4 linked regions of the Macaca fascicularis genome follow. The protein of the gene in region 1 binds, or shares a complex with, the protein of each later gene. Links are inferred from orthologs where the notes say so. Each region holds a gene or a part of one and is shown on either strand. Other genes may lie near its edges.

Region 1 (5,608 bases):
TTTTGATTTTTTGGTAGAGAAGGGGTTTCACCATTCTGGCCACGCAGGTCTTGAACTCCTGACTGCAAGTGATCTGCCCACCTCGGCCTCCCAAAGTGCTGGGATTACAGGCATGAGCTACCAGGCATAAGCCACCATGGCTGGCCCCACATTTTGTTTGTTTTTGTTCATTTGAGACAGAGTCTGTTGCCCAGCCCGGAGTGCAGTGGTGCAATCTTGGCTCACTGCAACCTCTGCCTCCCGGGTTCAAGCAATTCTCCTGCCTCAGCCCCCTCTAGTAGCCAAGATTACAGGTGCGCGCCACCACGCCCAGCTAATTTTTGTATTTTTTGTAGAGATGGGGTTTCACCATGTTGGCCAGGCTAGTCTCGAACTCCTGAGCTCAAGTGATCCACCCGCGTCAGCCTGCTGAAGTGCAGGGATTACAGGCTTGAGCCACCACTCCCGCCCAAATGTTTCTTAAAATAACTTGACCCATGCAAAATAAATTGTCTCCTATGTAATCCTTTATTTAAAAAAAAAAAAAAAAAAAAGATACTGTACATCCGAGTTAGAAATTGAAAGGCAAGACCAGAATATGCCTGAGGAAGGCTTTGTTTATTTTGCTTATCAGAAATGAGATAAAGAATTATCTCCGAATGGGCCAGTTTCCAACTTGGACCATGTACACCATATACACAATGCTCCGCATTCTGGGAGGGGTGAGGTTGGGAGCAGTAAATGACAAGTGTTTTGCCCGTGTTTCTTTTCTCCTCCAAGTGGATGTAAAACTTTTCACATGTGCAGAAGCACGCAACTATAGCCACGTGCAGAAGCAGCCGTTTTTGCAAATGAAAACATTTCCCAGAAGCACAACAAATACAAGACTAACAGGTGCCAGGCAGCGCCAAGGCACACATGTGGTTCTCATCAGCCGTCTTCCTCCTGTTTTAAATCTAGGTCTTCCTGTAACAGTGGGGAAAAAAAAGATTTCTCCCGAGGCCGCCGAGCTTGCCTTTCCACCCCGTCTCACAACAGCATTTCCAACAGAGTTCCCAGAGAGAGGGGAGCAATTACAGAAGGCAATAAGTAGGGTGGAGGGAGGAGGGGCGCCCTTAAACTTGACACCTGCGGTTCTGGGCTTAACCCCGAAGTCTAGGTGACCTTGGGCCTCCGTTTCCTCCTGTGACGTGTTTGGTTAAGAGAATGAGCATCTCAGTTTTACAGCACCTCCAGGCAGAGGCGGGTAGAAGGGTCTTTCAATCACGGGGTTTTCTGCCGGTAGCGGGGCGGGGGGACTGTGCCCCAACAAGGGATGGCGGCAATGACTGCAGACTGGGGGAGGGGGCGCTTCTGAGGCCAGAAATGCCGCTCAACTTTCGACAGATCGCGGGACCCGCCCCAACGACAGAGCAATATCGCCCAAATGCCAGTGGCGCCGAGGTGGAGAAGCCGCGGCGTAGACGCAGATTTGCAACCTCCGGCTTTCCAGCGTTCCCAGCTACGGGGGGCGGCTTCTTTGCCGCCTCACGTTTTCGCGATCGGGGTCGCGCGTGGCGATGCAGACCCCCGCCCGTCACCACACCCATTCCCACACTCTCTAAGGGGCGGGGGCGGCCGCGGCGACACCCCTGGACTCCTCCGATGACCCTTCCGTGCGCAGAATCACAACGTGGACGTCTGCTTCCCTCGCCCTCACAAAAACTTCGGCAGCTGCTCAGCCTGCGACTCTCATCCCCCAGTCACGCGCCGGGAAGGCTCTCCTAGAGGAAGGATTTTCCCGCCGCCCTCCCTGCCCTGAGGTAGCCGCCGCGAGCGTCCGGGTTCAAGGACTCTTTGCGCGCGCGCTTCCGTCAGAAAGCCCCGCCCCGCGACCCGGGCGGGGGCGGGGTCTCCAGGCAGCGACCGTTGCCCCGCCCAACCTCCTCCCAACGGCTGCCTAGGCCGGGCGGCGGGGCGGGGCGGCACAGGCGGGTGAGTGCGCCTGCGCGCGCGTGCGCGGAGGCGCGGGGCGGGGCGCACGGGCAGCCCCGCCCATGCCTGGCGTCTCCGCCCGTCCCATCTCCCAACCTCCTCAGCGTGGCGCCGACGCTGCGTGCGGCGCGGACTACCCAGAGTACTCCGCGCGGGGGCAGCTCACTGGAGTTTGGTTCTCGAGGCGGCGGCAGCAAGCGGCGGCGGCTCCGGCGGCTCCTCCTCCTCCGGTGGCGGCGGCGGCCCGGGACCGAGACCCGGCCCCGGCTCCCCTCTCCGCCACCCCGCGCGCACCTAACCCTCCGGCGCCGCGGGGAACATGCGGCTCCGGCTCCCGGAGGCCGGCGAGTGAGTGACCCCCGTCCCCCGCCTCAGCCCGCCCGCCCGCTGGCCCGGCCGCAACCCCCGCCTCGCCCAGGCAATGACAGCGGCTCCGGCGTCTCCGCAGCAGATCAGGGACCGGCTGCTGCAGGCCATCGACCCCCAGAGCAACGTAAGTACCCGCCGCGCGAGCTGGGACGGAGGCCGCATGGGCCTGGGACCCTCCCCCTCTCCTGTCCCCCTCGCCCACCGGGCTTCGGGGGACCCGTCTGGCGCCCACCTCCCCTCGAGGGCCGCTGCCATCTCTGCCTCTCACTCCTCGGGCCCGGGCCGGGGGCAGGTCGGGCAGCCCGGCAGCGCTTGGTACGTGAGGCCGAGGCTTCCGTGCGGCCTGGGCGGAGGAAGCAGACGGGGGGCTAAGGGTAGAGTTTATCTCCCCTTTCTGCTCCAGCTCTATGACCCTCACTGCTCTGGACGAAGCTGCCCTGCATCGCCCTCCCTCCGGGACCTGAGACCCCCGGGAAGCCCTCCCGGAGCGGGGGAGGGGAGGGAGAAGGGCTGTGAAGCAACTGGTGTCCGGGGTATGACTCGGGGAGCCTGTGTCTCCCATGTCTTAGCCTTCTGGGTTATGAGAGAAGTCCTTCCCCCTCCTCCCGGCTGGCAGCACCTTCCTGGCTTCGGAGAGAACCCCCAGTGTGTTTTGCCCCTGGCCGGGTACCCAGGGTACGTGGAGAGTCTGTCTCCCTTCTGTGACTGGACACGCCTTCGCCAAAACCCTCTTGGGGTCGCTGCCAGCGACAGATGATTTCGGGGAGGGTGGGATCCTTCCTGTTGCCTTTCTGGGCCTCAGTACCCATTGCGTCTCTGACCAAGCCAGAGCTCCATTTTTTTGGGTAGTGAATTAAAGAGGACTTTTCTCTCCCGTTTACCCAAGAGCCCTGTTTCAGTAGGCTCTTTCCCTCACCTGGGGGTCTCAGCCTGGTGGCTATTGACCCAGACTGTCAGGGTTAACTCCAGGGTGTCGCTTCCTCGGGTGCCCCTTTGCTGAGGCTACTGTTGGCGGAGGGACCGCCCCTTCCCCCTCCGTATGTGTGGCTGTGTATCTGTGTGTGTGTATGTGTGTTGTTGCGGGGGTGGGGTGGGGGTGGGAAGACTGATCTATTCTCATATTTTCTCCAAGAGTTTCTTGGCAGTAGGGGTCATACTTCCCGCGGCAGGAGCAGGGCGGTGGGAAGATGCAGTAGCATCCAGGTATGAAGTGAGGCCCTGCTTCCCAGGAAGTGGCCATTGAGATCACTTTTTAATATGCTGTGAATGGAAGAAAAAAATCATCTTTGGCTTGGCCAGGTAACTCAGGTTTCTCTCACCGTAGGGGTTTTTACTTGTAGTTTTACATGAGCTTGGCTGATTACTCTTAGCAGTATGCTTAACTCTGATGATGTTTTTGGAATAATTCACGTTGACTTATACAATTTTTGGTAAGATTGAAGGGTTATGAGTTTTTTTCTAAGGCCCTGTTTTTGCTGTGATATAAGTACTTCTCTTATCCCTGGTATTCAGGTCCCATTAACATTGACTTGATGGTAATTGTCTTTAACAAATGTTATATTATACATTTTTGTTATGACTTTGGGGGTGGAGTGGGCACAAGCTATATAAAACCTTCTCGAATGTCCTTTTTGCAGTAACTGGTGCCACTGCAATTTTAAGATTGAAATATTAGAGGATAAAACTAGTGACATGAAAAAAATAGCCTTGGTGACTTGTACATCTTTTGTGGAGCCAGAAGGTAATTTTTTGAATTTCACGCACTCGCTTTCCTTCTGGAGAGTCTGAGAGGTTGCTGAGATATTAGCACTGATCCTTAATGCCACCTCAGAGAGCTTTGGGATCAGGCGGCACTTTGACAGGCGATCACAGTGTTGTAGATTAGGTCACTCCAGTGACCTCACAGTTTCCAGTATTGTGTAAGGCTCTAATCAAAAGGGTTCCTTGAGGCAGAAGAAAAGAGGACGGAACAAATCTTAGTTTTGTGTGTCTCAGCTCATGCAGAAATGTTATATAGGTCCCTGGTTATGTTACCTGACATGGAATTTGCATTTCATATCGCTTATTTTCAAGGACTTTGGTGATGATCTTGGGCAGAGTCCTACTAACATGGGGTGGATGGATTTGGGAAATTATCTTCTTGATTATGAGCAATGAGGAAAGTGCCTCCTTTGTGATTGATCCTCTGAGCGCTGTTATGGGCCGTTTGACAGGACCGTTCGCTTTGAGCAAACACCATGCAGAAACAGAGCTGCAGTGGACGGGGTTTGCTGGCGGAGGTGGTGGTGAGAGCTGGGCATGTCAGTGTGTCTGCAGTTTCTCTCGGATCAATGTGGGCTCAGGTGAGAGCAGGTGGCTCCAGCACAGGTGCTGCCGGTGTGCCGGTCTCTCCTCTCTGCCCTGCCCAATGATGAATTCCACTACTGGATATTTAGTTGACACATATTTAAGATGCTCGTGGAAAAAAAAAAAAAAAACGGGGACAGTGTTGAAGAGCCAACACTAAAATTAAACCTCTTCTGAGAGAAGCGGCAGAGAATTGTGTCATGTAATGCTTACCTTTATGGGCATGCAATTATGGTTAACAAACTTAGCTATTGCTTGCAAAATCAGTGTCAGGAACTGACCTAATATCCAAAAGTATCTGGAAAGTTAGGGAAGTGACGAAGTCGTGTTTACCAACCATCTCCTTGACAAAGAAATTCTTACGAGGAAAGTTGTTTCTGTGCTCTTTTAGCCCCTGGAGTATGCATTTGAATTCCTATAGCAGCAGGCTCAGAGTTAATAATTTCTGCCAATTCAGTAATAAAGTAAATCCTCTACTCTCCTTTTCAAAAGGCTACTAACGGTTTTTCAGAGCAGTCGGAGCTTTTCTTTTCGTTGTGCACCCTTTCAGCCCAGGGTGTTGAAAATCTCTCCGAAGCGCAGTGTGTGCATGATTGTTCCAGCTTACTCTCGCTGCATTGTGGGTAAAGTGAAGGACTGTGTCTTACTCTCGCACAGCAGTCGTAGTGAGCAGTCTCCTCAGCAGGTGATTCGGTTCCCATCTGCCTGGGACACTCTTTGTTTTGTGGAGGTACGAGCTTTATCTTCCTGTGCGGCACACAAGCTTCTTGGGATGTTTCATGTCTTGTCTTCTCCCTCTAGAGCAGAAGCATTTGGCACACTTTCTATCTGCTGCTTAAACTGACTGAACCCTAGCATCCATCTTGGACCTGTGCCTGAGGAGCTACATGTGAACCCCATTTTACTAGGAAGCCTTTGTAACTGCTTTATGCCCAAAAGT
Region 2 (5,416 bases), on another chromosome or scaffold:
AGGGCAGAGCTTTTTCTCCAGCCTTTGGGCTTCAGACCTGGGCTCTTCACCACTACAGATGAACAAGTGGATGAATGAGGACTTCTTTTTCTTTTTTTGTCTTTTTTTTTTTTTTTTTTTTTCCTTTTTGTGGAGAACAGGGTCTCGCTATATTACCCAGGCAGGTCTCGAACTCCTGGGCTCAAGCTATCCTCCCGCCTCTGCCTCCCTGAGAGCTGGGATTACAGGCGTGAGCCACCGCGCCCGGCAAGGACTTCTTTTTCATTCCGTGGCTGAAGAAGTGACATGGAAGACTCTACCATTCAGTTTACAGATACAATTATGTATCTATAACACATAATACATAATTATGTATCTGTAATAGTTACATAAAATTACAGTAAGTCCTAACTCACCGATATTTCTAACTTCTGAATCATCTTTTCTTCTTCTGTCTTGCAATCCTAAAACCGTCAGAGAAACTGTTTTGAACTCTTATATTGAAGTGTAACCCATCCAAGCACTGGGTGTTTTATGGGAAAGAGAATGAACCTTTTGTTTGGTTCTTACTTCTTACCACCCACTCATTTGTAAATATACAAATATGAAGCACCTACTGTGTGCTAGGTATCTTTTTTTAGGCACTAGAGAGACAGAAGTAAACAACAACAAAAACGTAGTGAGACCTTTACATACACTAGTTCTCCTGCTTCTCACAATAACTGTATGAGGTAACGATGACAACAATAATAGTTAACTCTTAACAGTGCTTATCTGTGCAGGGCCCTGGGCTACCTGCTTAATTTGCATTAACTCATTACAATAAGCTTGTGGGGTAAGGGGCATGTTTTCCCCGTTTTACAGACGAGGAAACAAGACACAGAGCAGAAAGTGATTTGCTCAAGCTTGGAACCCAGGGAGTGTGGCTCTAATTCCCAGTCTATTAACTACAGGGCAATATTTTGTTTCTTAAGTTTCTATCTTCATATCACAACTTTTAGGTGGTGGAGTCTCGTCCCCATCCAGATCGTCTGACTCCCAAATCCAGAGGTTTGCGCCTGCACCCCAGCGGCCTCGCGAAATAAATGAGAATGTCTTGGAATTTTTGTCAATACTTTCTCTTCCAAAGAACTCAAACTGATTTCCACGTAATTCCCATTGATTTGTGAAATGAACCTTCCTGGACTGTAAATTTCCCCGCAAAGACAGGGCCAGGGCCACGGGTCATTTTACACTGGCCAGGGCACCCAGCAGGTGGCGCTATGTTAGTGGCTACCAGCTGGCTGCCCAGTCCCCGGGGCTCACCGCCTCGGCCGAAAGCTTCCCGGCCCTCCCTCGCTCACTTCTCTCTCCCCCTCCCCACGGAGCCCGGGCCCACGTGACCTCAAGGCGGCCAATGGGTGAGCAGAGAGGGCGAGCTGGTCCCTGTGGCCGCCATTAAAGCGAAGGGAAAACCCGTGAATTCGGATTAAAGGGGGAAAAACACCGCCCGCTGGGCCCACAAAATGGGGGAGACTACGGCGTCCAGCCGGTGAGGCCGCAGGAGGGCAGACGTTAGGCCGGCTCGGCCCAGGGACGACACGAAGACAGAGCCAGAGAATGGTCTGAGCCCGCAGACGCCGCCACCACCTCCGCCGCTGAGGAGACTCTGGGCTTAAGGACATCGCCGCTGCCGGGCCGGGGGCCTGGGCTTCTCTCCCGGTTCTCGCCCTTCCCGCCCCTGTGTGGGCGCCTCCCCGCCCGGGAGAACCTTCCAGGGCTTGGGCTCTGCCGTCTCGGACTCGTTTTTGATTATTTATTGTGTAATTTATTATTTTTCTTGTGGTAGGGGCACACATCCCCTCCGTCTCCCAGAGAAGGACGAGCGTCTGCGGGCTCCGCAGTCCGGCCCGCCAGGCGAGCGCGGCGCGGCCCTCCCGCCTCCGGCCCTCGGCCCCGGGCGGCTGGGTGCCGGCCGGGCGGCGGGGGCTGCTCGCGGCGGCGGCAGCGGCGGCGGCGGGGGGGTGGGTGGGGAGGGCGGGCGGCCCGGCGGCCTCCTCTTCCACCGCCCCCCCAACCACTACCCCCCCACGCCCTCCCCGGTGTCTGTGTTTCTCTCTCTGGTCGGAGGCGGCGGTAATGGCGGATGGTGGGTTGTGGCGCCGGCGGCGGCTGCTGTGAGGGACGATGAGTGCCTCCTTCGTGCCGAACGGGGCCAGCCTGGAAGATTGTCACTGTAACCTCTTCTGCCTGGTGAGTGCCGGGGCCGGCGGGCGCCGAGGGAGGGGGGCCGTGAGGTGCGCCCTTGGGCCGTGGGGGAGGGGGCCGGGTCTGGTCCAGATGCCCGAGTCCCCGGGCGAGGCCCAGCCGGAGCCGGCGCCCTGCGAAGCTCCGCGGCCAACCCCGGGAGACTGCGTTCGCTCTCCCACGGTCCCGGGCCCTGTTTGGGGAGTGTTGGCATTTTTTCTCGTCTTCTTTCGGACTCTCCTCTTCACCGTAGTCTCGTCCTCAACTTGAGCTCCTTATCTGGCAGGACAGTAACCTTTCTCTCTCTCTTAACTGTTGCTTTTCTGCTTATTGGCCTTGTATCCCAGCTTCACACTTTCCATTATTGCCCCTGCTCCCCACCGCCTTTATGTCTCATCCTTTTAATTTGGTTTCCCCATGTAAACAGGACCCCAGAACTTATGCCCCAGAAACCTGTCTTCGTTTTACATTTTTTTTGTATGAGTCAAACTAACGCAAGGTTAGTTTCTTCCTTGGGTGACTTAAGATCTCTCTGTAAAAACCAGTAGGTGCCATTTCATATGTTTTCTTTTTAAACTTTGAAAACAGTTTGCCATTTTTGACAATTTCTAGCCATCTTGCTTTTATTAGAACATAATTTTTTTTGTGCGAGTGAAGGGGGCTAATGGACGAGGTGCTGTGGTTTTGCACTGTTTCTATATTTATTGTGTTTTGCTTGCTTTTTCAGAATGTTTTGAGCAGGCTGCTCCCTTGTTTGATTGAAATGAAAAGTCCAGAGAAGCTGGGTGTAGGGATGACCATTGTGTAGGTTAGCCCAGGTCTGGTAACATCCAACAGTTGAGACTTTCAAAAGTACCAACTGTTGCAAATAACTTGGCCTGTGTGGGACAGTAGCTGAGCTTCATCAATGACTTTAAGTTTGGGTGACTTTATTTTTTCATTTTCTCCTTTGTGCTATGAGAAATATTAAGAGTATATGATAGGTAATAAGTGAGTTAAGTGGGCGGAGCACAACTAGTTGGCAAGTGTAAACTGCCAGTCATGTATCAGCAGTTTCATTTTTGGCACCTTATGCTTTGCACCTTTAAGTTAGATTAAATTATTGAATTCCTCTTGAATTTCTTTCTGGATGCTAAATTGAGATCTTTCATACTCTATCCTCTTCTACAGTATGTTTTTCTTTTCAATGTCCATTAATCAGCATCTCTTCACGTATAATAAGACATACACCAGGTTTTGTATTCTATCTTATCCAACTCAGTCTATTTTTGATACTTTTAGGATCAGGCTCTTTGAAGATAGACTAGCACAAATCTGACAGTTCTTTGTGAGCAGCTATTTGACTTTTCCGACAGGGGTATGTGTGAAGAATTAACATAGATTTTTTTCAGGACTTGTTCAGATGTCTTTTCATTAGAGACATTACTTCTGTAAATGTGGAATAAAAACCCGTGATAGGGTCTTTAATAATTGATTTTCAGTTAAACGTTTGACACCAATGAATAAATGTGACCATTTAGGACAGAGAAAAATGTACTCTGTTTGTATATTGAAGTGTGTGTGTCTGTCTATATTTAACTTCGTTCAGTTTCTTTTATTTCTACTTGGAGTACATATTTGCTTGCTATTCAGTGACATGGTGGTATTTATTTTTAACTGTGTTCTTCTCCCTAAAATTGTTGGTTGTTGAATTATAAAGTCATTTTTTTTTGGTTCTAATTTGCATTCAATAGCTCAAGCATATATTGAAAAATTGTAATGTCTTAACGAAATAGGAGACATCGTATGGAGTACTTTTGTGAATTTGAGTGAATATGCAATAATAAAACATCATGCTTTCTTTTATTCAGGCTGACTTGACGGGAATTAAATGGAAAAAATATGTATGGCAAGGCCCAACTTCTGCCCCTATTCTGTTTCCTGTGACAGAAGAAGACCCCATTTTGAGCAGTTTTAGTCGCTGCCTTAAGGCAGATGTACTTGGTGTTTGGCGGCGAGATCAAAGACCTGGAAGAAGAGAATTGTGGATATTTTGGTGGGGTGAAGACCCCAATTTTGCTGACCTTATTCACCATGACTTATCAGGTGAAAGAAACTTTCCATTTCTAATTAATGATACAGCAACATTGTATACTTCTCCCAGAATATCATTTGTATTACAAAGTAAGTTTGTTATTGTGGGACACTTAGGTAGGAGGCCAGATAAAAATTGAGCTTCATGTTTTATTTCACCATGATTATTTTATTTTACTCAAATTATCCATGTTATAGCTGGGTTTTTTAGGCTTGAATGACTTTCTCCTTTTACCACCTCTCTTCTTAATTTCTCACGGGTAGTTAGGGTCCAAGGAAGGCATGCCACATTAATCTCAAAAAATGGAATCAGGAAACAGAGTTCCTAACAAAGTCATGTAATAGTTTTGAAGCCAGATGTAACTTTTGAGTCACTTCAGCCACTGTCAAAGTTGAGTCTTTTGCATTAAATGGGCAGATGATTCTAAAAGTACTGGAAATGTAACTATCCTTGTGTTTGTGTGTGTGTGTGCGCGCATGTTTTAAGGTATGTAAGTATTTTGTTACTGTCATTTGTGCTGTTTGATTAACATATGAAGGCATATGTTAATTTAGTTATTTTTGGAAAGTGACTCATATACTGTTCTGTCACATACTCAATAAGAGACAAGTGCCAACTTGTTTAGCTTTTATAGGACATGGGATCATAATCTAAAAGGTTACACAAACAATTTTATTATGAGCAAATCAATGTGATTACTTCCTTATTTTCTTGACTTTTAGGACCAAATGCTACTTTAGAAAGAGAAACTATAGCTTTTCATAATAATTACTGAAGCTTTGAACTGTCAAAGTCAGTATTTACTGAATCTTAGATAATAGGAATGTAAATGATTGGTTGTATGCTATAAGGTTCCGAACACTTCGGTAAGATAGTTTGATAATGATTTTTGATAGATAAATTTAGGATTTCTAGATAATTTTTTTAAAGTTCTTGTTTGAAATTGAGTACTCTGAAGTTTTTGTTATTGTCCCTATGACCTATAGGATCTATTTTATTTCTGGATAGAATGTATTCTAGGTGTCTGTATCTTGAACTGGTACTTAGTAAGACCAACATTTATGTAGGAATGTACGTGTTACATTTGTATGTTTTGATAATTGCTTTTCACATTCTAATGAACATACTCTCCCGTGA
Region 3 (5,399 bases), on another chromosome or scaffold:
GAAAGTCTCCTAGTCAACCAGTCTAACTTCAGATTCTTGCTTTCCTTTGATCTTCAAATTATGCTAATACTACAAATCTTCCTCTTTTCCTTCTATCATTATTGTTGCTTAGTTCAACCAATTATCTCACACCAGAATTATTACAATAGCCTTCTTGTTGTTTGCCAGTTCACCAGGTTATTTATTTTACCCTGATAAAAACATTTGAGCTTACTCCACCACTGTCTTCAAGGTAAACCTCCAACTCAGGCTGTTTTGAAGCTTTCAACAATCTAAGTCAACTCTACTGACTTGTTTTCCACTACTCCTTCATATTTACCTAACTAGTCATAAAGTCACTTATGACTAAATGGCTTTGCCCAGGTTTTAATAATAGTAATGGAGCAATAAGTGCTCAGACGCTATACAAACGTAGATCCCAGCTCTATTAACCCAGGTAGCATTTTTCATTTTTAAATTGGATACATTCTCCTATTACAGCATTGTTGTGAGGAAGAGGAAATACACAAAATATTCAACACAGTGTCTATCTGTTCCATCCTTCAAAAACTTTTAGGCCGGGCGCGGTGGCTCAAGCCTGTAATCCCAGCACTTTGGGAGGCCCAGATGGGCGGATCACGAGGTCAGGAGATCAAGACCATCCTGGCTAACACGGTGAAATCCCGTCTCTACTAAAAAATACAAAAAACTAGCCAGGCGAGGTGGCGGGCGTCTGTAGTCCCAGCTACTGGGGAGGCTGAGGCAGGAGAATGGCTGAGGCAGGCGAATGCTCGGGAGGCGGAGCTTGCAGTGAGCTGAGATCCGGCCACTGCACTCCAGCCTGGGCGACACAGAGAGACTACGTCTCAAAAAAAAAAAAAAAACTTTTAAGATCCATTCAGTCAACAAAACTTTATGGAAAATAACTATGACAAGTACTACATTTAAACACTATAGAGACATAGTGAATGCGACATAGCTTCTGCACTCATGGTTTTCAGAGGGTAGAACAAATGTTAAAAGTTATACAAATCTGATTAGGATAAATGCTAAGAAGATTCCCTCTATTTTGGTTCACATCACTCCATATTCCAATTTACTTCAGAACCTAAAGCTGAAAATACTCAATTCATTATAACTCCCTAACCACATACTGTTTTTCCATCACTTAAATGTCTCCTGAGTATATGACATTTTTTTAACCTCCTTAAGGAGTATCTCTTTGCAAACATGATAGTGCTTATACACAGTAGGCACTCATACTAGTTATCCTAAAGGCTTTTCTCCAAAATCCAATTATCAGTACGCCTAACCTGGAGTTAAGGCCATATTCACTCTGTCCTTACTATCCTTCTAGTTACAAGACATGTATGAATATGCAAAAGTTTCCCTAAAATAAGATTTCTATCCAGCAGCATCATTACAATTTGATTTTGTAAAATCTCAAAGGAGTAGTTCCCTGAGGAAGGCTGACTGGCAGCTCAGGCAAGTCCCTGCAGGGCAGAATTTATCTTGGTGAATTCAACATTTAGAAGCTGGTCCTCTCAGCCTTAAAAACTAGTGTTATTCACCCAGGGTAGATCAGTTTATCACAAGTAGATTCACACTCTTCAAGTGTACAAAGCCTGATGTATTAAGAAAAATGCCAAGTTATTAGCTTACAGTGAGGAAAAAAAACTGGCAAAGAAACCAGGTACTTAGGTTTTCCTCTCAGCATGTTTTCTCTCTAGTCCCTTATCTAGGACGTTAAATCACAATCAGACAATGAGAAACATAACTATCAATGGAAAACTATTTAACAGAAAACTATGTAACTGGTAATGGTAATAAGTATACCCATTGCAGCAAGAGAATACCCACTGACGTCTTGGTCAACGGGATGCATATATTATGTCGGTCCCCTATGGTTATAACAACGCTGAAAAATTCTTACTGCCTAGTGACATCATAGCGGTCTGTGCTTGTGGTGACGCTGCTGTAAAGCAACCTACGGCACTGCCAGTGTATGAAAGTCTAGCACATACAATTAAGTACAGTCCATGATACTTGATAATGATACTAAATGACTTTGTTACTGGTTTATGTATTTACTGTTTCATCGTTATAATACATTGTACTTCTACTTATTAAAAAAAAAAGTTATCGCCGAAACCATGCATTTCTCAGAACATAACCCCTTCATTAAGGGCCCATGACTGTATGCGCATCCTCTGGCTTTGCTTCTGCTTTCCACTCAGGCATAGCTTGGAGGAAAAATTACCAGAAGGAACAAAGCTGGGGAGCTACCTACAAGACTTGGCCTTTAATAGAGCGTAGAATTTGGGGGAGACGTTCAAAAAGACTTGTAAGCCGGGCACGGTGGCTCACACCTGTAATCCCAGCACTCTGGCAGGCCGAGGCGGGAGAATCGCTTGAGGCCGGGAGTTCGAGACCAGCCTGGGCAACATGGTGAAACCCCGTCTCTACTAAAAATAGAAAAATCAGCCGGGCGTGGTGGAGGGCGCCTGTAATCCCAGCTACTTGTTTGGCGGAGGCGGAGGGTGCAGTGAGCCGAGATGGCACCACTGTACTCCAGCCTGGGCGACAGACACAGTCTCCAAAGTAAAAAAAAAAAAAAAAAAAAGAAAAGAAAAGAAAAAAGAAAGACTCAAATAAACGGAAAGACATACGAGAATCAGAAGATTTCCTATCATAAAGATGTCCCCAAACTGATGCATTCTGAGGGGTGGCCAAGAGACAAGAGATGGAAGGAGGCTCTGGGCCCACAGGAAGGAGCGAAGATGAAAAATCTCTCGCCTCAGCGTCGCTCCGCACCAACCTGAAAGCGCTGGTGAAGGAATACTCTCGGCTGGCATTTCATTACAAAAACCCAGTCATCCACAGCACGAGATCTCCCTTGGTGGATTCAAATTGATGAGGAAAGAAAAGAGCTCCTGCTTCTCCTCCCAACCCCCAAAAGAGAGATGTAAGCACCGCTGCCAAGAAAATAAAACTGTCCTCAGGGAATACGACAGGACCGCGCAGCCGACAAGTCTTGGCGGCCCCACCCGGACAAGAGCAATCTTCCCGGTCTCCTCAAGCGAAAGAGGCTGCTCCCTCCCGCACCTTCAAGCACCGCCCGGCAGCCGGCCTCACACCTCCGAGTTCGCGGTGGCGCCTCCCGAGAGAGCGCTTTATGCCGAAGCCCTGTTTCTCAGTCCGCTTTCCACTTCCAAGTTTTGCCTCTTGGGCCCCTTTTCTCCCTTGCTTTACCTCAGGAAAGAGAAAGACAGAGGCTAATCGAATGAAATTCCTCACCGAATTCACAGCGTCTTGAAGCTGCGTGAGCCGATCCGCCATGTTCTTCCCGCAGCAAACCGACGCCAAAACAGCTGCTCTTCCGCGACTGGGCAGCTCTGGTACGCGTCATGGCCAATCCCAGCGCTGCCTTCTTGGAAGGGGTGGGGTCGGAGAGAACTCCCCGCCCGTCAGGAGTGGGTGGTACTGCCGAGGCGGCCTTAGAGCGGGCTACACCAGAGGAGAGGCTGGATCTTTTGAGTAACTGGGGAGCGGCCTGGGGTCCATCGCTTTGAGGGGCTGAAATACTCTCTTTGAGGTTGTTAGGTGTTAAAGGCTTCAGAGATCGTTGGATTCAGCGGGGATTTTTTTTTTTTTTTAGTGATTTCTCCTATCCTCTCATGTGTTTACTTATTGACTACATTGAAGAGTAGATATATTTATTTATTTTTATTTATTTATTTATTTATTTATTTTGAGACGGAGTCTGGCTCTGTCGCCTAGGCTGGAGTGCAGTGGCGCGATCTTGGCTCACTGCCAGCTCCGTCTCCCGGGTTCACGCCATTGTCCTGCCTCAGCCTCCCGAGTAGCTGGGACTTTAGGCGCCGCCACCACGCCCGGCTAAATTTTTTTTTTTTTTTTTTTTTTTTTTTGTAGTAGAGACAGGGTTTCACCGTGTTAGCCAGGATGGTCTCCGTCTCCTGACCTCGTGATCCGCCCTCCTTGGCCTCGCAAAGTGCTGTGATTACAGGCATGAGCCACCGCGCCCAGCCAAGAAAAATCAGCTGCACAATTTAGATTTAGAGTTGGGACTTATTGAGAGCTTAAGTGTGAAGAGTGATAATAGAAACTTGGTATTTAAGGAAATTTAGCCTGAGGATAGTCTGGTAAGAAATGAGTTTGGAGTCGGCAAATAACAGGTTTGGAGACATCAAACAAACTCTCATATCCTCTTTCTCAGGCTGATTATCCGTGATTACCTTCCTGCGGCTGCGGGGTAGGTGGTGGACACAGTCCCCGGGGAACTCAGCTTGCTGGATTTATCCCAACCCTTGCTGGGAAGCACCACTTCTGCTTCACACCCATGCCCCACCCTCATCCCCAAACAGTCTACAGACTTACTGGGGCCTCATTAAGAACGTGGATGAGGCATGCTCCCCATAATGGAACTAATGAGAAATCACTCCATAATTTGTTCTAACTGTAACTTGGGGGAATCTACAACCTTTTCCTCCCACCTTCACTTGAGCGTGTACCTTACTGAATGCCTGCCACATGCCAGGAAGTATATCCAGTGCTCAGTGTGCAAAGATGAATAAGCCAAGGACTCACCAAGAGGAAGGTTTTGCAGTTGTCCAAGATTAAGGTGAGCTGGGCCTAGAATAGGGTGTTGACCCTGATAAGAGAGGAAAAAAAGACTAAAATATATTTTTGAGAAAAATAATTAATACGGATTGGTGACTGATTGAATACAGTTTAGTCCACTCCGTAAGGATACTAAGTTTTGCAGCGTGATTGAAGGGAACTTGGGCACTTGAAGTAGAGAAGTCACTTCAAGACAACTCATATTGTGACACAGTTTTTGTCCTGCCACTATCTTCCTAGTAGGTCTTCCGTGTCTCCACAGAGACCTCAGGTTGATGTCCAACTATCTCTGCCTAGTTGTCAAGATTTACTATAATCTGGCTCCAGCAAACAGACCCAGCCTCACCTCTTGATAATTTTCTGAGTGAAATAATCCTCTGTTTCAGCCAAGGGCCCTGACCCCTTGGTTTTCCTGGTTCTTCAGCCTCTTTTGGCCACGGATCTTTTTAAGAATCAGATAAAAGCTGTGGACCCTTTCCCCAGACCAGACTCTCAACTTAGCCTACATTTGAAAAGGGGTTTATGAAGCTCTTGAAGCCATAGACTTCAGGAATAACCCACCTGCCAAATATAGTCTGTGCATCTAGCTCAGGATTTCTCAATGGCCGCACTCTTGACTCTTTAGGCTAGATTATTCTTTGTTGTGGGATGCTGACCTGTGCATTGTAGGATGTTTAGCAGCATCCCTGTCCTCTACCCCGGAGATACCAGCAGCATCCCCCCAATCCATTTATGACAACATGAAGTATCTCCAGATAGTCCCAAATGTCCCCGGGGGG
Region 4 (5,651 bases), on another chromosome or scaffold:
GCCTCCATATAGACTATTCTAAAAATGAGTAGGAGAGAAAGCAGGAAGCCAAGAGCAAGAGAGGCATGATACAGAGAAAAGAATACATGTAGGACTGGAAAACTGGCCTGCGTGTCAATTCCTAATGCACCTACCAAACGGTCTTAAGATCTGACCACTGATTTCTCTACCTAAGAAGAGACACTGACAACATATCTAATACCAGAATAAATGGGACCGAAGGATAGTTGACACAGAGATGTGAGATGGAGATGGGAAATGAGAGCAGTTTCTGTTACTCAAAGTTCTTCCTCACTCTCTGGTGCCTATGCAGAGTCTCAAATGAGATTTTTTTACTTCTGAAAATTATTTCCTGGGTCACAGTGCAAAGGAGAAATGGAGAAAATCTCTAGGTCTAGAGATGCTGGAGGCCCAGATAATCTAGCTTATTCCCTCCAGCTCCCCTGCTCAAAGTCAGCTTCCTTTCAACCCCTGCCACCTTACCTGGTTGACCTGCTTGAGCCATTTGTACCCCACTGAGCATTGGCTGCTGCTGGCTTGGAGCTCCTGCCATCTGCACCTGCTGTAATCCTGAGGTTCCTGCAAGGATCGTCCCAGCTCCTGGCTGGCCTGGCTGGCCAGGACCACTGCTGCCTGAAGGTCTCCAGTTAGACAGTCCTTTCCCAAAGGCAACAGCTGCCACCAAGGCATTAGTGTCTGTAGGGTTAAAGGTCTGCTTGTTTGGCCGGAGACCTGAAGAAAAAGTAAGTGGGGATCCTGAAGTATGTTTCTGATGCAGGACTGAACGTGGCAGCTGGAAGACCAGTATGAGTGCCAGGGTTTAGAGTTCTGAATTCAGCAGCATCTAGACTCCCTCACAGCCCATAAAAAGAGCCAGAGGACCCCCAAGCCTATCTCAGAATTCTCTCTTCTTACTTTGCCCATTTCCTCCACTGCTTCAGGGTTGGCCTTAAATACAAAAGGCTAACAGAATGGATGCAAACCCTAAAGCAGTTCACTCTTGTGTCCTAACTTCACTACTCTCGAAACAACCATTCCCATTCCAGTGATCTTATATACCTCTCCTTCTCTGTTTTGCCACCAGTCCACCATACCTCCACTCTCTGATTCTCGCTCCTCTTTGCTGATTTTCTCCAGAAGGTTTGAACACATTTTATTCAAGCTCTGGATCTGCTTCTGTAACACACAAATTTGTGCAGAGATTAGGGTAACTAGGAAACGATATGGACAAATTTATTCCTTGGGTTCTGCCAGAAGCAGCTTAGGTGCAACCAACTATGCATCCCTACTAGACAGGAATGGTAATGCCTAGCTTCTCATGATGGGATGGGGATGGGGCAGCAAGGCAGTGACTCAGTCCAACCTGGGCTGCATCTGCACCAATGCGGGCAGCATCTGTCGTCAGTTGCTTCTCCTGTTCTTCCACCTCAGGGTCAGGCTTGGTTCTCAGATGGTCAGGGACTACCTCATGGCTGAAAACGGGCACCCGTCCTTCAGTCTGCCGCTGCAACACACAGATTTTATTGATCCTACTATGCACTCCAAGAAGATTCTATCTGGCCTGATATACAGTCCCATCCACAGGCAAACAGTGCATTTTCAAGGAAAATACAACCTAAGACATAATATCTAGTTTCCTAGGACACAATCTCCTTTACTCCAGCCTTCATTTTTTGTGTCTTCTCACATCCCTATCTCTACCAGACCTAGAGGCAAATTAAACTATCACTGTCTGCCACGTTTCAAAGACTGAAACAGACAAAGTCACCAAAGGGCAGACTTTGTGGCTTGAGACAGATGTTGGAGAAGGAAGGTACCAGCCTTGGTGACATACCCCTCAGGTTATTACAACACTATTTGGGAGTGGCTCTCCCACCTTCAGAAGAACAAAAAGCAAGGCCTCCAAAATTATTTCTAAGTTCTCAGCTAAGAACTTAATTTCCCTAAATAGTAAAGAAGCCTAAAAAACTCCTTAATTTCCCAAGTTGTATTCTTTTTCTGCTCTTACCATGAGATCTTCATCTCGGTCTGGAGACAACACCAGAGGGATGATGACCTGGTTACGGAACAGCGGTGTTTTTTCATGCTTCAAGACCTTGTTCAGAGTGTTCAACTGTCCAGAAAGCAAGGCAAAGCTGTCCAGGACAGATGGCCTGTTGGCAGTAAGCAGGTGTCAGAATGTTCCACCCCTTCCTTGGGTGGTTCTTAGTAAAATAGTCCTAGTTCCTTCAGGCTAGGAACACTCGGATTTATCCCCAAAAGTCTCATAGCCCTATGACTAGCCTAAGTGGGAAGAAACTAACAAGGATGACAGGGTTATGAAAGAGGGACATAGTTTCAGTTTATGAAACAGATGTAGAAAAAATCCAGTTCATTGTTTGAATGAGGTGAGGAACAGTGGCAAAATAGGACTATACTGTTATAACTAAAACTTCAGAAACCCGGTAAAATCCTTCTTTCCAGCCTGGAAATAGGATCCACACTTCAGAGTAGGTTGGATCTAAAGGACTCAGCCATATTTGTGGCAAGAGATCCAGCACAAATAGAGCTGTAATAGGAGGACCTCCTCACCAGAGAAGTCAAAGGGTAAGAATTGAAAGCTATAATGAACTTGGGTTAGGAAACCGAGCATTTCTCTACTTCCTTGCCATGGAAGCCACTTGCTAAATGTTACGAAACCCAGCTCTTTCCAAATCAAAAGATGTTTGTAAACTGATAAATGGTTACATCATTAGAAGTGTCCTATTCATCAGAAGGCTAGGCCCCCCCACCCATAAGCCCTCCCTAGCTTGCCCTGGCAACCCTTACCAGGTCAGCCGGCCATACTCGTTCTCCAACTTGCAAATGAAACTTCCCAGTGAGTTCTTCAGATCAGCCACTTGACTCAGCAGTGCATCTAATGATGCCTCAAGCTGCTTCTCCTCTCTCTGCACCAATAGGAACAGGTTGGTTACCCAGATAAACGAGTATGACACATAGAAAGGAGGGCTGAAAAGCCAAGGAGATGGTGTGCAAACACCAGTCAGGTAACAGGATCTCATTGGCATAGGATAACCAGGTTGTTTCCTATCTGTGGTATTTGGGTTATAGACAGCATCAACCCTGAGACCTTTCAACCGTTTGCCTGACCCAAGTACTTCCACCAACTGATTCCTTTTTCCCATCCGCTCCTAATCTATGCCTGGTTTTTCTCTGTATTAGGTACACCCTACACTCCCTCATTGAGACATTTTCGACAAACCTAATGCCAGATCATTATCTCATGTGCACCTCTGTAGCACATGCACTCCAGCTTCCTCCATCCTAGCATTTGTGAGCCTGGCTCTCTTGTCAGTCTCTGGGAAATCTGCCTACTCATGAAGACTTCTCTGAATACCAGCCCTGCTCTCCTCTTTCCCTCCCCCCACCAACCACTCCAGCTTTCCATCTGCTCTCATCATTTCATGTTTCAACCTTCTCCTCGCTGAATTAATATGCACCCATCTATCTCTGTGTCAATATTCCCGTGCCTCTTTCACAAGCTCGGTCAACCCAATAACATTTCTTGAGACTACCAGCTGCAGGAAACTAAGTGACAAATGAAAACCAAAACCGCACATGCTTCTAAGCACTGAACAAACAAATTAAAATGCCGGGGGTCTGCAAAGCATTTCCTTCCCATCGGTGGTATCCTGTTTTATTCCATTTCTTCACCCTTAACAACTATAGGGCACAGGCTGGGAAGAGTGATGCAAAACTGTCTTGCAAACCTGCTAAGGTGCCTGACAGGAACTTGATCCTGGGTTCCACCATGGCCTCACATTACAAGCTGCTTAGCTTTCGGACACCGCGGCCCACAATTCCCTCACTGCTTGGGCTTCTTTCCAATTAGATCCCCTGCTATATCGGCATCCAACAGCCTCCATCCAGCAGCTTAGGACAGGGCCTGAGCCAACCCACCACCTCCTGAGCCGTCTTCCTTGGACTGCATCTCGGCCTCCCCGTATTACAACCTAATCCTTTCCCACGCCAAGCAAGTCAGTGCTGCCTCCTCCCTCCGGATTTAGCCCGACCGCCTTCTGTCAGGCGAGCTCCACCCCCACCTCTCATCTGCGCCGCTCCCTCTCCAATTAACCTCGCCCCCCAACCCACGTTCCCTTATCAGCCGTGGGTTCTGCCCTCTTTTCTCAGTCCCAACTCTTCATTCTCCTTAGCCAGCCCACTCTGGCTCCCTGTAGCCGAAGCTGGCCAGCCGCTAGCACTCCCAACGCGGCTCTCACCTGCATTGCGGCGGCCGAGGCGACTGCAACGATTTCCACTTCCGGTTTCCTGTCAGCAAACGCCTCTGAGAAGGCTTCGTCCACCAATCAGAAAACTGGAACTCGGCCCTCCCACCCACTTCCTGTTCCTTCCGGGTGCCGAGGTAGCCAGGTCAGGGGTCAAGAGTGGAACACACGGGCCCGGGCCGGCGCGGGAGGGCTTGTGTGATGGCCTCGGAGCGCCCCGAGCCGGAGGTGAGGGGCGGGCGGACGCAGCACTGGGCCCTGAGATCCGAGGGGGAGGGTCCGGCGGGCAGGCGTGGCGTTGGCCTCCTCTGGGTCTGGGGGTGGCCGGGCTGCGTAGCCTCGGCAGGGACCAGCCCAGCCCGGAAGGCCCGACTATGGTACCCCTGCGGACTATGGGACGCGGTCTGCAGTTTCCTCGGGGAGCTAAAGGAGTAACTCTTTTTGCTTTGTTTTGTTTACTGACGTGTCATCCGCGTCGTCAACTCTTTGACCTAATGATAGTGGTATTAACAAAATTTGTATTTTGACTTTCTGTTGCAGTTTCAATGGGCAACACGGCAGTAGATTTAGTTTGCCGGGTTTTGTATTTCTTTAGGCATTGGAATGCTGTAAACAGCATGAATTCATTTAGTTCTAGGGCCCATGCTTTTAGAAAAGCAGCTTTAATTTCATGAAAAAAACATTTGAGTCGGACTGAGACCTCGCTCCAATATTGGCGCTGTCATGTAGCTAATCTGTGCAAGCTCAGGCGAGTCTTCCCCGATCCTGTTTCCTTCTTTATAAAATGGTCTTACAGTGTGTTGTAAGGATCACATGTAATAAACCAGAAAGGGGATATGAGATATTCATTAGATGCTAAGGAACATGCAAGGAACCTTATATACATTGTGTCATTCAGACTTCTGCAAGGAAGATGGCGTTCTCACAGAGGAGAAAACTGAAAAATGAGAAAGATTTAGTACCTTACTCAAATGCCACTCATCCAGGAAGTAGCAATTTGGAGTTAGAAGATCTGAGCTTAAAATCTCAGATTTGGATAAAACACCACCACTAGGAAAGGTGCCAGTATATTAGTAGGTGGAAAGGGTGAGAGATGTGTATAATGATACAAATAGTATTCATTACTGCATACATACTGCATGCTTGGCACCATTCTAAGCGCTTTACCAGTATCAATTCTGTCAGCCCTATGAAGTGGACACTGTTATCTCCTTTTTTTTGGTTTAGGAACTGAGGCACAGAGATATTAAGAGTAACAAAGTAGGCTGGGCGCAGTGGCTCACACCTGTAATCCCAACACTTTGGGAGGCCAAGGGGCGGATCACCTAAGGTCAGGAGTTCGAGACCAGCCTGACCAATATGGAGACAGCCTGTCTATACCAAAAA

The links. The genes of interacting proteins can lie anywhere in the genome.
Region 2: MED26 (region 1) and MED13 share a complex: the UniProt entries of both Homo sapiens proteins name them as parts of the mediator complex. The link is inferred for Macaca fascicularis from reciprocal best matches to the Homo sapiens genes MED26 and MED13.
Region 3: the proteins of MED26 (region 1) and MED21 are in contact, whole or in part, in a cryo-EM structure (PDB 7EMF), measured with the Homo sapiens proteins. The link is inferred for Macaca fascicularis from reciprocal best matches to the Homo sapiens genes MED26 and MED21. Residues at the interface, in NP_004822.2 of Homo sapiens: Ser481, Arg482, Asn483, Glu484, Ile485, Ser488, Tyr489, Ser491, Arg492, Ser495, Leu496, Ser498, Ser499, Ser500, Leu528, His529, Ser535, Pro537, Thr538, Asp539, Leu540, Pro541, Gln549, Asp551, Leu552, Ile555, Gln556, Trp560, Gly562, Val563; in NP_004255.2 of Homo sapiens: Ala2, Asp3, Arg4, Leu5, Gln7, Asp10, Ser14, Gln18, Asn21, Gly24, Val25, Gln28, Cys29, Tyr54, Leu57, Phe58, Leu61, Arg64, Thr65, Lys67, Asp68, Val71, Leu72, Asp74, Ser75, Leu76, Pro77, Ser78, Glu79, Glu80.
Region 4: MED26 (region 1) and MED8 share a complex: the UniProt entries of both Homo sapiens proteins name them as parts of the mediator complex. The link is inferred for Macaca fascicularis from reciprocal best matches to the Homo sapiens genes MED26 and MED8.

What each region holds. Positions count from the first base shown.
Region 1 is NC_088393.1:16,961,444-16,967,051, reverse strand, and holds the start of MED26 (mediator of RNA polymerase II transcription subunit 26), read left to right. Parts: upstream 1-2,117; 5' UTR 2,118-2,374; coding exon 2,375-2,446; intron 2,447-5,608. UniProt on the Homo sapiens protein: Component of the Mediator complex, a coactivator involved in the regulated transcription of nearly all RNA polymerase II-dependent genes.
Region 2 is NC_088390.1:46,526,650-46,532,065, reverse strand, and holds the start of MED13 (mediator of RNA polymerase II transcription subunit 13), read left to right. Parts: upstream 1-2,068; 5' UTR 2,069-2,145; coding exon 2,146-2,211; intron 2,212-4,055; coding exon 4,056-4,290; intron 4,291-5,416. UniProt on the Homo sapiens protein: Component of the Mediator complex, a coactivator involved in the regulated transcription of nearly all RNA polymerase II-dependent genes.
Region 3 is NC_088385.1:29,774,992-29,780,390, reverse strand, and holds the start of MED21 (mediator of RNA polymerase II transcription subunit 21), read right to left. Parts: upstream 3,349-5,399; 5' UTR 3,319-3,348; coding exon 3,277-3,318; intron 1-3,276. UniProt on the Homo sapiens protein: Component of the Mediator complex, a coactivator involved in the regulated transcription of nearly all RNA polymerase II-dependent genes.
Region 4 is NC_088375.1:191,387,134-191,392,784, reverse strand, and holds the start of MED8 (mediator of RNA polymerase II transcription subunit 8), read right to left. Parts: upstream 3,349-5,651; 5' UTR 3,165-3,348; coding exon 2,809-3,164; intron 2,154-2,808; coding exon 2,009-2,153; intron 1,505-2,008; coding exon 1,364-1,504; intron 1,177-1,363; coding exon 1,095-1,176; intron 733-1,094; coding exon 484-732; intron 1-483. Other genes in the region: KICSTOR complex protein SZT2, read left to right, coding at 4,467-4,493. UniProt on the Homo sapiens protein: Component of the Mediator complex, a coactivator involved in the regulated transcription of nearly all RNA polymerase II-dependent genes.